2 linked regions of the Styela clava genome follow. The protein of the gene in region 2 purifies or fractionates together with the protein of the main gene of each other region. This does not show direct contact. Links are inferred from orthologs where the notes say so. Each region holds a gene or a part of one and is shown on either strand. Other genes may lie near its edges.

Evidence for each region.
Region 1: the proteins of high affinity copper uptake protein 1-like (region 2) and ubiquitin carboxyl-terminal hydrolase 32-like purify together in Homo sapiens (co-immunoprecipitation; 3 studies listed by BioGRID and IntAct, with this or other methods). This does not show direct contact. The link is inferred for Styela clava from reciprocal best matches to the Homo sapiens genes SLC31A1 and USP32.

The regions. Positions count from the first base shown.
Region 1 is NC_135252.1:1,654,807-1,663,370, forward strand, and holds the start of ubiquitin carboxyl-terminal hydrolase 32-like, read right to left. Parts: upstream 3,463-8,564; 5' UTR 3,279-3,462; coding exon 3,221-3,278; intron 2,510-3,220; coding exon 2,382-2,509; intron 2,155-2,381; coding exon 2,049-2,154; intron 1,772-2,048; coding exon 1,650-1,771; intron 1,570-1,649; coding exon 1,407-1,569; intron 785-1,406; coding exon 653-784; intron 468-652; coding exon 360-467; intron 1-359. UniProt on the Homo sapiens protein: Deubiquitinase that can remove conjugated ubiquitin from target proteins, such as RAB7A and LAMTOR1.
Region 2 is NC_135254.1:8,937,570-8,945,338, reverse strand, and holds the start of high affinity copper uptake protein 1-like, read right to left. Parts: upstream 3,648-7,769; 5' UTR 3,497-3,647; coding exon 3,368-3,496; intron 1-3,367.

The DNA of each region.
Region 1 (8,564 bases), on a different chromosome or scaffold from region 2:
GATAACAATAAGTCTAGTTTGCCCTCAATTATAGTACAACAAACTGTTATCATAGGGTTTTGATGACAATGATGGAAAAACGCTTTTAAAGATTTGAAAGTGAAACACATTTTATTGACACACAACACATAATTCATATTCATTTAATTTCATATGATTTTCATCTGTAACGCAAGAAAATGGCTTTCTTCACTCAGATGGCAAATCAAACATAAGCATATTGAAAATTACTCTTTATTGAAGGTATGGTAGGTTCTCACAATACAATGGTGGTAGGTACCGTATATAAATATACAGAAATATATCATAGAAGGTTGACACTGGAGAGGGTAGAACAACGTAAAATATTTTTGACTTACATTTCTGCCGTTCAGCCAACGGGCCTCTGCAGCATGCAGAAACCCCACAAGATATTTCTTTAAAATCTATGTGATTGTCTCCATTTTGATCAAATGCATCAAATAGTCCTGCAATAAAACGTTGGCAAAAATATTAATTCCACTTATTCGTTCCACATATCTTACAAACATATAGTGACTCCCCTAATAAACAAGGCTGTTATTTTCAGAGCGGTAACTTGCAATAAAGATATATAAAAATACAGTGTATGAGTTAAATAAATGATCAGGCAAAACATGTCTTTGTTACAGACCTTTAACTATAGACTCTGGCAATGGAGGACAAACAATCGATTTGAATAATTGAAGATCAAAACGTCCAGTCTTCGATTGTGATTTTAAAGTCCAGTAATGTTTCTCCAGATCGATAATGTCACTTTCTTCCACTGAGAAAAATATGGAATTAAAATACGATGTTGATATTTAGATAAAATATTCAAATTCAGAACTTTATGCATGAATCTATATTTCTTTTATAATAGGTGTGTGTGTTCCAGATCAATGTTATACAAAGATAGTGTAGAACAGGGGTGGGCAATTACTTTCCTGAGTGGGCCAGTTCCAAATATTAGACTTGATTACTGAGCCGAGGTGGTAGAAGGATATTACATACCGGTAAGTGATTTTAACAAGCAAGATTGCTCCATACTGTGTCCTTTACTTTATAGTAAAGGACATAAAAATATTTTTAAAAAATCCAACTTAGTCAAATGACAATAATATCTCGGTTATATAATTACTTCCTGTGATGAAAACCAGAATGAATATACAATAATGACCAATAATGAATCATATATGAATTGAAACATATTGTATCCGTTTGAGTAGAAATATTTTAGCTGGGGAGCTAGTTTGAAATCACTACAGCTCTTGATGCCACGGAATATTCAAACCCAGCCTTGGATAAAGCTGACAATATTTCTGATATTTGAAAGTAGTTGTTTACTTAATAAAATTTATCATATAAAAAATAACATTGAATTAACTATTTCTCATCAACAAACTCACAGTGAGTCACACCAGCCAGTGTCTGATAAAAGTTTGCCATCTCTGTTGAATCTGTCAAACTGACAGTTACTCCACCCGAGTTTAAGAGCCATTTTGTAACTGAGGTTATGTCTGAGTGATTTTTAATCCAGTCACAAAATACTTCAGCTGGAACTCTGTCAGTCTGCAATGAATAACACGAGTGATCAGTAAAATTGAGTCTAAAATGAATTGTTTAAAAATAGCCGAAGTCTTGATCATTACCGTTGTAAAGAGTTCTGCTGCTTCGTGTGGTAGAGCTGTACCCTCACATGCAGTCTCCATGAGAGCCATACTGCGTCTTGTAACGAAGAGACCAGAGTTGTCAGCGTAAACTGCATAGATCACTGTAGAAAGAATTTGAAAATTAACATAAATATCAATATTGAATAATTGCACCCAATACTTTTGTTTAAGTGTTCTGATGGGTGAATAGTATATTGCTCAACAAAATGGACTGATAAACACTTATTGCGAAAAAATTTTAGCCACAACTAAAGCCAAGAATCCTCAATGCTCACACACACTATCTAACAAATGATTGCGACTTAAAACAGATTTCACATAAGAGATGTTCTAGTAGACATAGAGTGATAGACATAGTCTTTATTAAAGCAGACTTACATTTCAATCTCTCTTCTTGTTTACCACGAGTCAATAAAACCAGGGTTGTGATCATGTCACGTTGTGTCATCCCACGTGAACTGGATGCCATTACAGCAAATAATCTCTAAAAATGAACAAAGCTTTATAATGTGACAATGGAAGTTGAATATAAAATTAAAAAAAATGAATTTTAATATTACTTCAATCGCACATTGAAGTCGTACTGATTATTTCTATTCATTTCCATGGAAATAATGAGGCAATTTATATACCATATCGGAGCCTAGTAATGAACAATATATATACATGTACCATAGGCCTATCTCACAAAATTGTTTGAAACACGTTTACCTGAGCTAATTTTGTAGGCACAAAGTCACCCAAAACATCTTTGATTAAAACATTTTCTGTCATGGAACCCGAAAATCCACAAGCAGATTTGTAAGCTTTCTGCAGTCTGGCAAATTCAGTTTTAGTCACTAAAAAGAATTGTAATCAATTTGACTAGGTTTTCACTAGGTGTTATACAAAGCAATAATTACATACTTATGTTGACAATAACAAGCACAGTATTCAATAAGATTACTCTTTTTTTAAATATTACACAAAAATTCCTTTACCCAACAAATATATATTAACTGCAAATTATAGCAAATTCTGGTATAAGCGTTGTTCAATACTGTAAATACTGGCCATCATGGAAGTGCAGTACGGCACACTATACAAATTGGGTGACATTGTCCCGTTTCAGAGAAACCCATTTTACAGATGATCAGACACCCCTTCTTTGGGAGACGTCTGGACATTGTTGTCCCTCAATATCGGCAATAATACAGTATAATGAAGTTGCGCAAAATACTACAAAAAAGCGCACTCTAGTAACGTCATCATTGAATTCCTTGGGAAAAAATAATCTGATTTACCGAAGGAAAAAAAAATTTACCGTAGCATTCGAGAGTTTTTAGCAAAAAACGGCAATTTTGGTCATGTGACGGCCACGATTAATTTAGATTTTTATTGAGACAAGCATGGCACGATATGAAGCATCTGACGTGGTCCCAGACGCCCCTCGTTTGTGAGACACATGGAGTGTTTGTTTTATTGAGCCAAATGGAGGGAAATTCTTGGAATTTGGATAGTGTGCTGTACTGAAGTGTGCCAGTACTGCAGTATGCAATAGCTGAACTCACCTCTGTTAGCAGCATCTTCATATGACAAAATAGAAAGTTTTGAATCTTTCCCTCCCATTGTACATGGAGCACAATATGCTTCAGATCCTGGAAATTCAGTAGCGAAATAATCCAACAGTATATAAATATACTTTAAATCTTTGTTGTGTAGAAACCTGAGATTACATTGATTTCTATCATTCAGTCATGTTGTGATTGAAATTCTGGTCATTCAGGAAAAAACAAAAAATAAAAATTTAGAGATGATGTTCCTATAGTTATTTTGTTGCTGAAAAAATAAAAATTAATCATTCTGCCATTCTGTCATTACGCCCATGCTGCCATGATACAATTCAAGTTATACCATCTTATCACCAGGTATCTTAATTAATACCAGTATATCTGGTATATTCACTATATTCAGATATTGAACTATAACGTTCGGACGTTACTCTACTGCTGTACTGTAGTGTCAGAGTGCAGGAGTGTACGACAGCCATCAGGTCTTTCTCTAGCTCGGTGGCGCAGACGGTCCACGTACGTACGTACCGGTAACGGAATAAATATGTCTGTATGTAGGTACGTTAGTAATTCCTCGGGATAAATGTGTAATTCTTATCCTATACCGGTACAACGATACGAACTTTTTCGACCACAAAACGGTTAACATAGCGTACTGCTGTTCTGGGCTGTAATTCCATATGACATACATGAAGTAAAAAATGAACGCATAAGGATAAAGTCAGACAAAAAAACAAATGTCAACATGTCGAAAACCGACTGACGGAAAATCACCTGACCAGACTGAAAAAATACCTCCATCACGCTAACCTCTGTGAAGCTAGCAGCAAAACACGAAATTGTGACTGACAGAATCGCAGAAAATACCCACGCGTAAAATTAAATGTTCCCAATGATTTTTATAAGAAAGTGTATATTTTGATTATTTTCACAATAGCAATTAAAGCAAAACAATCATTAACTACACTCCTCGTATTGTTAATATATGGTAAACAAGCTAAAGCGACTGTTACAGTGCACAAAATTTTTTTATAATTCTTTGAGAGATGTATAAAAATGACTGAATTTTCGTCGTGTAACATGGTCGTTTCATGAAAACCTCCAATAAAGGAAGCATTGCAACACCATTGGTGAAAAGTAGAAACCTCAAAGATTCGATTTCAATATGTCAGAACAGTCTCAGCACGTTTTGACTTGACCATATATAATACTAAACATAGCGTATATTCTTCAATTTTTAAAACAATGTATATACAACAAATTTGAAACTGATTTTGTATTTCAATTAAAATTACTGGATAGTTCATCAAAGAAGATATTTTTCTCTTTGTCGCACAACAATAATGCACTTCATTAAACTTAGAATAAGTTGAGTAAAGTCTGAAATACTGAAAAAAAATTTACGCCCTCTTGTGGATTCTTTGATAAATTTCACAAAGTTATCGTTTTCGAACGGACAATTTCTCAAAAACCGCCAATAAAGGCAGCACTACGACACATTCGAAGAAAAGCAGATACCCTATCGATTCGATTTTTATATGTCAGAACAGTAGCAGCACGTTTTGACTTGGCCAAATATAATTCCAAACATAGCGTATATTTTTAATTTCATTGAAAAAATGTAGATGTGACATATTTAAAAACGGTTTGGTATTTCAACTAAATTTACTGGAAAATTCATCAAATACTTTCTTCTTTTGGGTATACAACAAAACTGTACGTTCATTAAACTTGGAATTAGTGTGCAAATGTTAAAATGCCAAAAAATGATTTGACGCCCTCTTGTGGATCCTTTTCGGAATTTCGAAAAATTATCGTTTTTGAAAAGGGCGATTTCTCAAAAACCGCCAATAAAGGCAGCACTACGACACATTCGGAGTAAAGCAGATACCTAATAGATTTGATTTTATTATGTCAGAACAGTAGCAGCACGTTTTGACTTGGCCATATATAATACCAAACATAGCGTGTATTCAAACTTTTATAAACAATGCAGACGTAACATATTTAAAAACGGTTTGGTATTTCAAATAAATTTCCTAAATAATTTATCAAACATCTTTTTTTCTTGGACATACATATATACTATACGTTCATTAAACTTGGAATAAGTTGCGGAAAGTATAAAATACCAAAAAGCATTTTACGTCCTCTTGTGGATTTTTTTCAAAATTTCAAAAAATTATCGTAATTGAAATAGCGATTTCTCGGAAACCGCCAATAAAGGCAGCACTACGACACATTTGGAGAGAAGCAAATACCTTATAGATTCGATTTTAATAAGTCAGAACAGTAGCAGCACGTTTTGAGTTGGTCATATATAATACCAAACATAGCGTATAATTTTTAATTTTATCAACCATGTATATGTAACATATTTAAAAACGGTTAGGTATTTCAACTTAATTTACTGGATAATTCATCAAACACTTTTCTCTCTTGGTCATACATCAAAACTGTATGTTCATTAAACTTGGAATTATTGTGCAAATCCTAAAATGCCAAAAAATGATTTGTGGCCCTCTTGTGGATTATTTTCGGAATTTCGAAAAATTATCGTTTTTGAAAAGGCGATTTCTCAAAAACCGCCAATAAAGGCATCACTACGACACATTCGGAGTAAAGCAGATACCTTATAGATTTTATTTTATTATGTCAGAAAAGTAGCAGCACGTTTTGACTTGGCCATATATAATACCAAACATAGCGTGTATTCAAACTTTTATAAACAATGCAGACGTAACATATTTAAAAACGGTTTGGTATTTCAAATAAATTTCCTAGATAATTTATCAAACATATTTTTCTCTTGGACATACATATATACTATACGTTCATTAAACTTGGAATAAGTTGCGGAAAGTATAAAATACCAAAAAGCATTTTACGTCCTCTTGTGGATTTTTTTCAAAATTTCAAAAAATTATCGTAATTGAAATAGCGATTTCTCGGAAACCGCCAATAAAGGCAGCACTACGACACATTTGGAGAGAAGCAGATACCTTATAGATTCGATTTTAATAAGTCAGAACAGTAGCAGCACGTTTTGAGTTGGCCATATATAATACCAAACATAGCGTATAATTTTTAATTTTATCAACCATGTATATGTAACATATTTAAAAACGGTTAGGTATTTCAACTTAATTTACTGGATAATTCATCAAACACTTTTCTCTCTTGGTCATACATCAAAACTGTATGCTCATTAAACTTGGAATTATTGTGCAAATCCTAAAATGCCAAAAAATGATTTGACGCCCTCTTGTGGATTATTTTCGGAATTTCGAAAAATTATCGTTTTTGAAAAGGCGATTTCTCAAAAACCGCCAATAAAGGCATCACTACGACACATTCGGAGTAAAGCAGATACCTTATAGATTTGATTTCATTATGTCAGAACAGTAGCAGCACGTTTTGACTTGGCCATATATAATACCAAACATAGCGTATATTCAAACTTTTATAAACAATGCAGACGTAACATATTTAAAAACGGTTTGATATTTCAACTAAATTTTCTAGATAATTTATCAAACATTTTTTTCTCTTGGACATACATATATACTATTCGTTCAATAAACTTGGAATAAGTTACGGAAAGTATAAAATACCAAAAAGCATTTTACGTCCTCTTGTGGATTATTTTCAAAATTTCAAAAAATTATCGTTTTTGAAAAGGCGATTTCTCAAAAACCGCCAATAAAGGCATCACTACGACACATTCGGAGTAAAGCAGATACCTTATAGATTTGATTTCATTATGTCAGAACAGTAGCAGCACGTTTTGACTTGGTCATATATAATACCAAACATAGCGTGTATTTAGACTTTTATAAAAAATGCAGACGTAACATATATAAAAACGGTTTGATATTTCAACTAAATTTTCTAGATAATTTATCAAACTTCTTTTTCTCTTGGACATATATATATACTATTCGTTCATTAAACTTGGAAAAAGTTGCAAATTGTATAAAACAACAAAAAAATGACTTACGCCCCATAGTAATTTTGTTTAATATCTCGAACATACCGTTTTTGGAGTGGCGATTTCCACGATATATATAATTCCAAACATAGCGTATATTTTCAATTTTGTTAAAAAATGTAGATGTGACATATTTAAAAACGGTTTGGTATTTCAACTAAATTTACTGGAAAATTCATCAAATACTTTCTTCTCTTGGGTATACAACAAAACTGTAGGTTCATTAAACTTGGAATTAGTGTGCAAATCTTAAAATGTCAAAAAATGATTTGACGCTCCTTGTGGATCCTTTTCGGAATTTCGAAAAATTATCGTTTTTAAAAGGGCGATTTCTCAAAAACCGCCAATAAAGGCAGTTTTGTCAACTATGTAGATGTAACATTTTTAAAAACGCTAGGTATTTCAACTTAATTTACTGGATAATTCACCAAACACTTTTCTCTCTTGGTCATACATCAAAACTGTATGTTCATTAAACTTGGAATAAGACGGCGAATCCTAAAATAACAAAAAATGATTTGACGCTCTCTTGTGGTGTTTTTTTGAAGTTTTGAAAAAATATCGTTTTTAAAAGGGCGATTTCTCAAAAACCGCCAATAAAGGCAGCACTACGACACATTCGGAGAAAAGAAAATACCATATAGATTTCATTTCATTATGTCAGAACAACAGCAGCACGTTTTTACTTGGCCATATATAATACCAAATATAACGTGTATTTACAATTTTATAAACAATGTACACGTAACATATTGTAAAAAGATTTTGTATTTTAACTAAATTTACTGGATAATTCATCAAACATCTTTTTTTTTGGACGTACACCAATAATGAACGTTCATTAAACTTGGAATAAGTTGCAAATTGTATAAAACAACAAAAAAATGACTTACGCCCCATAGTAATTTTGTTTAATATCTCGAACATACCGTTTTTGGAGTGGCGATTTCCACAAAACCGCCAATAAAGGCAGCACAACGACACATTCGAAGAAAAGCAGATACTCCATAGATTTTGTTGAAATACCTAACCGTTTTTAAATATGTTACGTCTGCATTGTTTATAAAAGTTTGAATACACGCTATGTTTGGTATTATATATGGCCAAGTCAAAACGTGCTGCTACTGTTCTGACATAATGAAATCAAATCTATAAGGTATCTGCTTTACTCCGAATGTGTCGTAGTGCTGCCTTTATTGGCGGTTTTTGAGAAATCGCTCTTTCAAAAACGATAATTTTTCGAAATTCTGAAAAGCATCCACAAGAGGGCGTCAAATCATTTTTTGGCATTTTAGGATTTGCACAATAATTCCAAGTTTAATGAACATACAGTTTTGATGTATGACCAAGAGA
Region 2 (7,769 bases):
GGAGAATTATTATGTCTAAACAAAAAAAGATTCTAAATGCTGATAATGTTAATATGTGTTTTCAAAACATCACATGTTATATAAAACAGAAACTTGATAAATAGATTAATGAATCAAATGCAAAAAATTGCCGGTATATACCGGTAATCTTGTTTATGGCTAAATACTCGTTGAAACATCCTTGTGGAATTTTAAATAAGAAGACAAGGAAAAATATCACAATATCCTAATCATACCCCGTTAACAGAAATCCAAAAGCCATGAAAAATAACGGCGAATCTACCTCATAAACTGCATTACTCTAACCAGTAACCGCTATCCATAAACAACAAATGCTCGCATGACAGCAAAATTGGTATGTGTGTTGTGTAGTCAATAAACGACAATGAATCACAAATTGTTCAAACTTATGTACAATTACCAATAAAAAAAAACTATGTGCATTGTAAAACAGTGTGACGACAAAATTTCAGTGAATAAACAAGTACTCAAATGGGTACTCCTGCAGTATGTGTACCAGCTTAGGGTTAGGCCATACTTATATTCCAATCTTCCTTATTTTAGTTCTATTATGAGTTAAAATACTGTCTGTGTTAGCCAAGTGAATATACCCCCTGCCCATAGGTCTCAGTCCCTTTACACAACTTTATATAAAATAGGCGATCAAAATTAGTTACCGGTACCTCCATATTGGTACACAACACACTTCTGGAGCGCCTTTAATTAAATGTTTATTATTAAATCAAAATTTTAGAATATAAATCAACCACGCTGTGGAATCTACCGATAAATTCACAATGCCATCAAATCGTGATGTGTGGTTAAATTGAAAGCGATATTAGAGATATATTTATCATTCCATGTGTAATTATGGTTAAAGAAATTCTCACAAAGTTGTCTGGAAGTTACGGATTTGAAACAATCGTGAGGTTTATGCATAAACATTCAAGAGATGGATTTTTTGGAAATATGGATTTTACATATCGTTTATACAGTCATCATTGTTACGGTAATCGGAAGTAATCCTACAACATAAACTAAAGATCATTGGGAATTAACACAGTGCACCACACCCAACCACAAATAAATCTTTTCATAAAATAAGTATTTCTATTAGTAAGCCAAATTGAGGTTTTGTCACCGGTGATAGGCAAATAATTTTTTCATTTTACTAAAACAATAAATCAAAAATATTGGCAGGAGGTAAGTTTAGTTTTGCAATATATTACTGCAATGCCCTTTGTTCTCTCTGGACAATGAATACTCTAAAAATAGCTCAAAAAGCTTGTCTTATATCATTGAATAATACCATTATAGATAATCGATCTTTCAATTCAAAATTAATACACTAACAGTTCAATCCTGCTATATACATTCAGCAGACATTTTCTGTATGCAAGCCAACATCATGCACAAGTTCCGATACAGCTCGCATCTTGAAAAATAAGGAAAACATCAACAATTTAGCATAGTGGCCACCTAATGTCCAATAGGATTACATACAATCGCAAAGGAAAGCGCAGTGTACCCTGAGGGTGTAATTGAAGAAAATCCGTATGAATCTGGCTAATCCAAATAGGCATGAATGTGGCACAAACCGGGTTTTATGTAATATTGAATTATGTTTTTTTCTTATATATCTAGAACCATTTACGTTACATATATCAAAATGTAAATCAAAGTGCTGGACAACCCCCAAAATGTAAATGATATAAAAATCATTCTCACGCTTAAAATAACTTTTATAAAACAAGAGGCAAAACAACTTCCACTCGATATTGTGAGTGGAAGCAACAATAGAATGCGGGAAAATATTTTCAACAAACAATTGCTGTTCTAAAAGTGATTGAGCATAAAATCTTCCATCTTCAAGTGTCTCAATTCCAACAATAAAAGTAGAAATCAAAATATACTTTTAGTTAGACAACAGACACACCCCAAACAAAAGGACGTTTTTTGTCGGTTCATTTTACTGTGTTAACTTTTGTCTACAATGAGGGAACTAGAAATTAAAAGCGTCACATAATATTGAATATTTGTTTAGTGGTCAATAACAGGAAAATGGGTAGATAGAAAAATTACCTCATTCAATTTAGACAAAGCTTGTTGCAATAAAACGACAAAAATGTGATAAAACTACGAGTCAAACGATTCGCTAGACTTTGAAATTTATTGAGCAAATATTGATCATTTTATGCATAATATTATAAAAGGGACAAAATTATAAGAAAAGCACTAACTCTTTAAACAGAGTGCTTTTTCATTAAAAACATCTCAGCAATAACAAAAAATTTATGAAACAAAATAAGATCTATTGCTTATGTTATGAAATGAGTGCAGTGCAATAACATAAATCACTTAAATATCTGAATTCAGTCCACAATTCCATAAAGAACATTGATATGGTCTGGTCTTGACAGTTGGCACAATTAGCAACCAGGAGTATAAACAATATATATCACAAAATTCTTTATTGGATGGCCCATGCCTTGACTGTAGCTAGCAATCAATTGGCCCAAGCCTAATATTGGCATTCTTTGTTTATTGTACAGAGCAGATTAGACTTGCATTCTCAACCCTTTCAATGCTCTGTATAAGCATTCACTGATACGCAAGATGCTACCATTTTTAAAAAGTGCAGGAATTTTTCAGATTCAGCCTTGCCTACACAATTTGAGATGGTGGAATGGGTTTGAAATAATTGGGGGCATCAAGAGGCCTTCGATAGGTAAAAATAAAATAAACCTGAATTGTGGTGTAGTCCACTCATGAAAACTGTCTTTTATACAGAAAATTTTGCCTGATTTTATAGTGATAGCAATTCAAAATTCACTCTATTTTATAGTAATAACAATCGTAAGTTTGAAAATATTTTATTGTATGATAAATAACTACAAGCTACCAGTATTTTGTGGACATCCTGTATGTATCCAGGAATACGTAATACTTAGTAATTAAATGTTCTGAATGCATCTTGAAACAATTCAATGAATAATGATTTACTTATAATATGGAATTCTAAACATGATCAACAGGAACATATCATTGTAAAATCAAAGAGATTGGATGAAAAGTGATGAAATAGTCATTTTGATCAATTTTCGAAATTCTAAAGTTAACAGGAGTTGAATTGAACCACCCTGACTGTCGGGACTTATTGGTCAAAACTCAACTGGGCAGTTTTTCTATGGAAATATTTAAAAAATGTTCCACATTAAAATATTGTGACAAATAATGATATTCTTGAATCTATTCATACATTACGGTTGTTAGATATTCTTGTATAGCCAATATACTGTACTAAATAACAATACGAGAATTAGTTAGCTACTTTAAAATATATTTTAAAAAATATCAAGAATCATACCGAGTGAGAATCATGGTCTGTGCCATGATCACTGTGATCCATTGTTGAGTTTCCCATGTCATGATCATGATCATGCATCATGGTTGAATTATGAGCCATTGGCATTGTGTGATCCATCGGCATTTCCATATTGATTTTTGTTGGATAGAGTGAAGACTATGTAGGATAGGAGGTAAACACTTGCTTAGATTCTATTGTGTAAGTTGAAGAATCATTTTATGAAGACTGGAATACTTAATTTTAGTAGTGCTAATTAAACTAATACCTTTAGAAAATTAAGGATGCAGATTTAACTTAAACTTGGAATATGTAAGTTAAATTCAGAAATCAGATATTATGAAGAAAATGAGTTACGGTATAGTCTATTTCTCAGTTTCTGTATGTGGTCATAGGCCTACTCATATGTCAGGAAAATACTATTACTGTATTACCAACCTTGAAGTTTAAACTTCATTAAAATATTTGATTCTACCGTTTTAGAAATATAAGACAGTGAGAAAATGTACCGGTAGGTACCGTATCATATTTTTAAACCTCAAATTTACTTTTTTCCTTCGGAAATACTGCATTCCCTGGGAAATTATTGCAGTACCGGTACCATGTCAGGTATGGTACCGGTATGGGTTTTCAAAGCAAGAATATTTTCTTAAACTTTTATTATTAATTATTCCTGTATTCCGGCACCGTCTGACCGTGGGCAGCTGGCAGAACACAACATAGGATAGGATTACATTTTAAGGAACATCTACATACAGACATACTTCAGTACAGTGGAAAAAATATATTCCATAAAAACCTTACCCTAATAACACATAGATCAAAGTTGATACCGGGATATCGCATACCAAAGAACCGAAGAAATCCCACGCTCACGCCAGTTAGTTAACTACGGTACAGCCAAAGTGACTATAAGTGGTTATAGTCACTTTGGGTACAGCGGTACGGTACGGTACCTGTCGCAGAGGTCTCACTGTACTTCAAATGTCTGAACTGAATGCGTAGTCCGGCGTCAAAAGAATATACGATATCCGATTTCACGCATTCAGTCGTAAATACTGTATATACTACTACGGTCCAAGACGTTACTATTTTATAACAATTTCAAATTTAATCCTAAATCTAAACTTCGTTCACCCCGTTCAGACGTTCAAAGAATGAAATTTCCAGAGCGCAATTTATTAAATTTAACAGCAACAATAACATAAACCGACTGTTGGTTATAGCGGCTGGAACGAAGTCGGATTTTTCTCGCCAATTCACGAGCTATTCATATATACGACGAAATGTAGAGTGAAGTAAACCCTGAGTAAACCCTATCAACTGCGATAGATTTGGCCACAAACGCAACTCTGTGCATTTTTGATCATATCAAAAGAGTTGATACATATTGCGACACATCGCCTTGGCGCTGAACAATGTCCGCGCAGCAGTCGTATGGCGTTTGGTCTTCTGACGCAGTTCGAAGTTGAGCAGTTGGGTATTTTCAATTTCACAGTCAAATATAGGATACGATATATATATATATATATAAGCTTTGACCGTATCCACCGCCTGCAGCCCGTAACACGAGAGAAGTCACGAAAGGGCTACCGCAGTATTCCGTGATCATCATTTAGGTGTTACGTGTCAAATTGTAGTTTCTCAATTTTTCTGATTGACACATTTATGATAACAAATTCAACAAAGTAGATATCAAAATTCACTGAGCAGTATTTGCTTTGAGATGAGTTTGTTGTTTGATAATAAGAATCAACAGCGCGAACTCTAAAATTCCTGGATCTCGTTGTGAGGTTTTATGATATCATAACATAAATTTATTGTTATGAAGATTAAACAGTAGTGGTACTTTACCATTGTTATTCATGCCGTGTACCGCACGTTATATTAATGACTCTTACCATGATGGATAGATATTTAAAAAAAAATGTCAAAAACTGAAAAGCCGCGATGAAGAATAAACAGTGTGTTCCTAGTCCATGTCGGAATAGAAGACTTGTTATCGTGGAATCATGTCACGCCATTGCCATCTCTAGCTACAGCCTGTCTTAGATAATTATCAGTTGTATATATTTCAACTTTTTTGTACTATAGCTCTTTCCCCAACGCGAAACACAACTTGTTGGTTCTTTCGCTATTCCTTTTCTATGCCAAATTTGATCAAGATAATAATACGTTATTCGGATATTTTATTTCCAAAAAATCTATAATTTTCAGTTGCTGCTTTGTGAACCGCAGTACGCCACATGGCCAAGTCATCTAACTCCCCAACTCTATCGATGTCTGCTCTCTTGCCCCACTTCTTCTTTCTTCCTACCGTATCCTTCTGTTGAGTTCGTCTGTGAAATACTCACTTCTCTCTTACATCTCTGTATAAACTTTCTTTGCGCCTACCTGCATTGCGCCTACCTGTATATTACGTTGCCTACGCACATTTCGGCAAATGCGAAACCTCTCCTCTATTCCACACCCTCTTAACATTTCTTCCTACCGAAAGGTTATGGCTTTCCCCGCCATCGAGTCCATGTATCTGAAACAAATAACGGTTTAACCGTAAATTTATAGGTTTACCTAATCCCATCCACGACACGGACTGGTATACGGACGAGAGGGCACGGATCGGCTCCCCTCTCCTCTGGGATAAATATGTAAATGGCCCGGTGGACTATTAATGTCCACCGCAATCGTTATTTTGCATTACGAGATCAATATTATTTCAATTTAGATGTGCTTGAATTGTTTGAAGCTGCATTTGTGGTTAGGATGAAAGAAAAGCAGATGTTAAATGAGTGATTTTGAATATCCGGAATATCAAGATTGCTTGAGATTAGTCATAGTCAAGTTTATTTTTCCATCCAGTAAAAAAATTAACATGCAATAGTAAGACGAATAATATTGACCCAAGGTTCAAATATCTAAATGAACATTAGCAAGTTTTAGTAGGCTAACTTGATTGTTGGAGCACTCTGATTATTGATGAGCGAGGCTTCGGCAGTTAAACTATCTAATCGATAGTTAAACAACCAGCAATACAATTTACATATGAATACATTAAGTCTGCTTGGAGGCTAATAGGGTTGATTCTCAACTTAAGTTTCAATATAAACAATACAGTAAAGTGTCAATGACCAAACAAATCCTTGTGTGTCTATTTATGAGTAACGGGGGACATACCGGAACGTGAAAAACATCTAACAGCCATGATTCAAAAGATATATTAGCAAACAAAATTTAAATTTCAGCCAAGGGACCTACCACAGACCTAGTGAAACTTCAGAAATCCTAAGGGCACTTGGGAACAAATTCCCTTCTGTTCATCATGGTAAATTTTTTATTGATACCATTTTTTGGTTGCTACTCAAGTGGGTTGGCAGTAAAACGACCATTATCATTTAAATCAGCACTAATGAATATGCGTTATCCAAGAGGTTTGAACAATAGTGTCTTTATTATTAGACAAGCAACATACCAACCAGTTTTTGTAATGAATAGAGTAAGAAGTTTTTTTTCTTTCTGAACGTTAGCATTTTTTCATCTTCTCCATTACCATTTCCCAATGTTGATGCTACACGGGATCAAAATGGAATACTTACTACTTTCCACTCCAGTCTCGAGTTTTTAAGATTTTTCACCTCAATGAAACTTATATCGAAGCTACGCACATGGTATCAAATCAATTGAAGCAGGGTCATGCAACAGTTTTTGTCGATGGGGAAAATAACTAACTTCAGACATCTACCTGGTTCGTACAAAAATTGAGTATTTTATGTAACCTACATGACGATTTCAAATAATGAATGAAAACAATATTGATCCTGTAAAGTAAACTGACGGCTATGGTGATTATTGATGGCTTAACAGTTCGTGATGGGCAGGTAGTGACCAGTTTCGACTAATTATGTTTTTTCTTCGTTTGCACCATTGAACTCGTTGGCATATTTTCCAGCAATTAAACCTCAACTTTTCTTCGAAAAAGGATGGTTAGCGTTATAAGTTGCGATGGTCCGGGGATGTCAAGCGGGTAAATATGGGGTTGATTACAGGTGGACGAGAAGGGTGTGGATGTTAATGGGTTAGATTAGAGGCTGTTAAAATGCTGAAGACCAGGTGGGATTTAGAAGGGTACAGTGTGAATAGGGTTGGTGCAGAAGAAGAGTTTGGGAAGAGGCAAGGGAATCGCAGATAGAGTACAGGAGGAGTAGGAAGGTAGTAATAAGTGGTTAGTCTAGTAGTAATAGAAGGGGCAAAGAGGTTCATCAAAAATTTTGAAACGAGACGAAAACAAGAGGTATTAGTATGCAAATCAGATATGTGGCAGGGTATATAAGGCAAACGCTAATATATCAGAGATGAATGAAATACCGAAAAAGTAGGGGAGACCGAAGGGATTTGAGTAGGCATACCA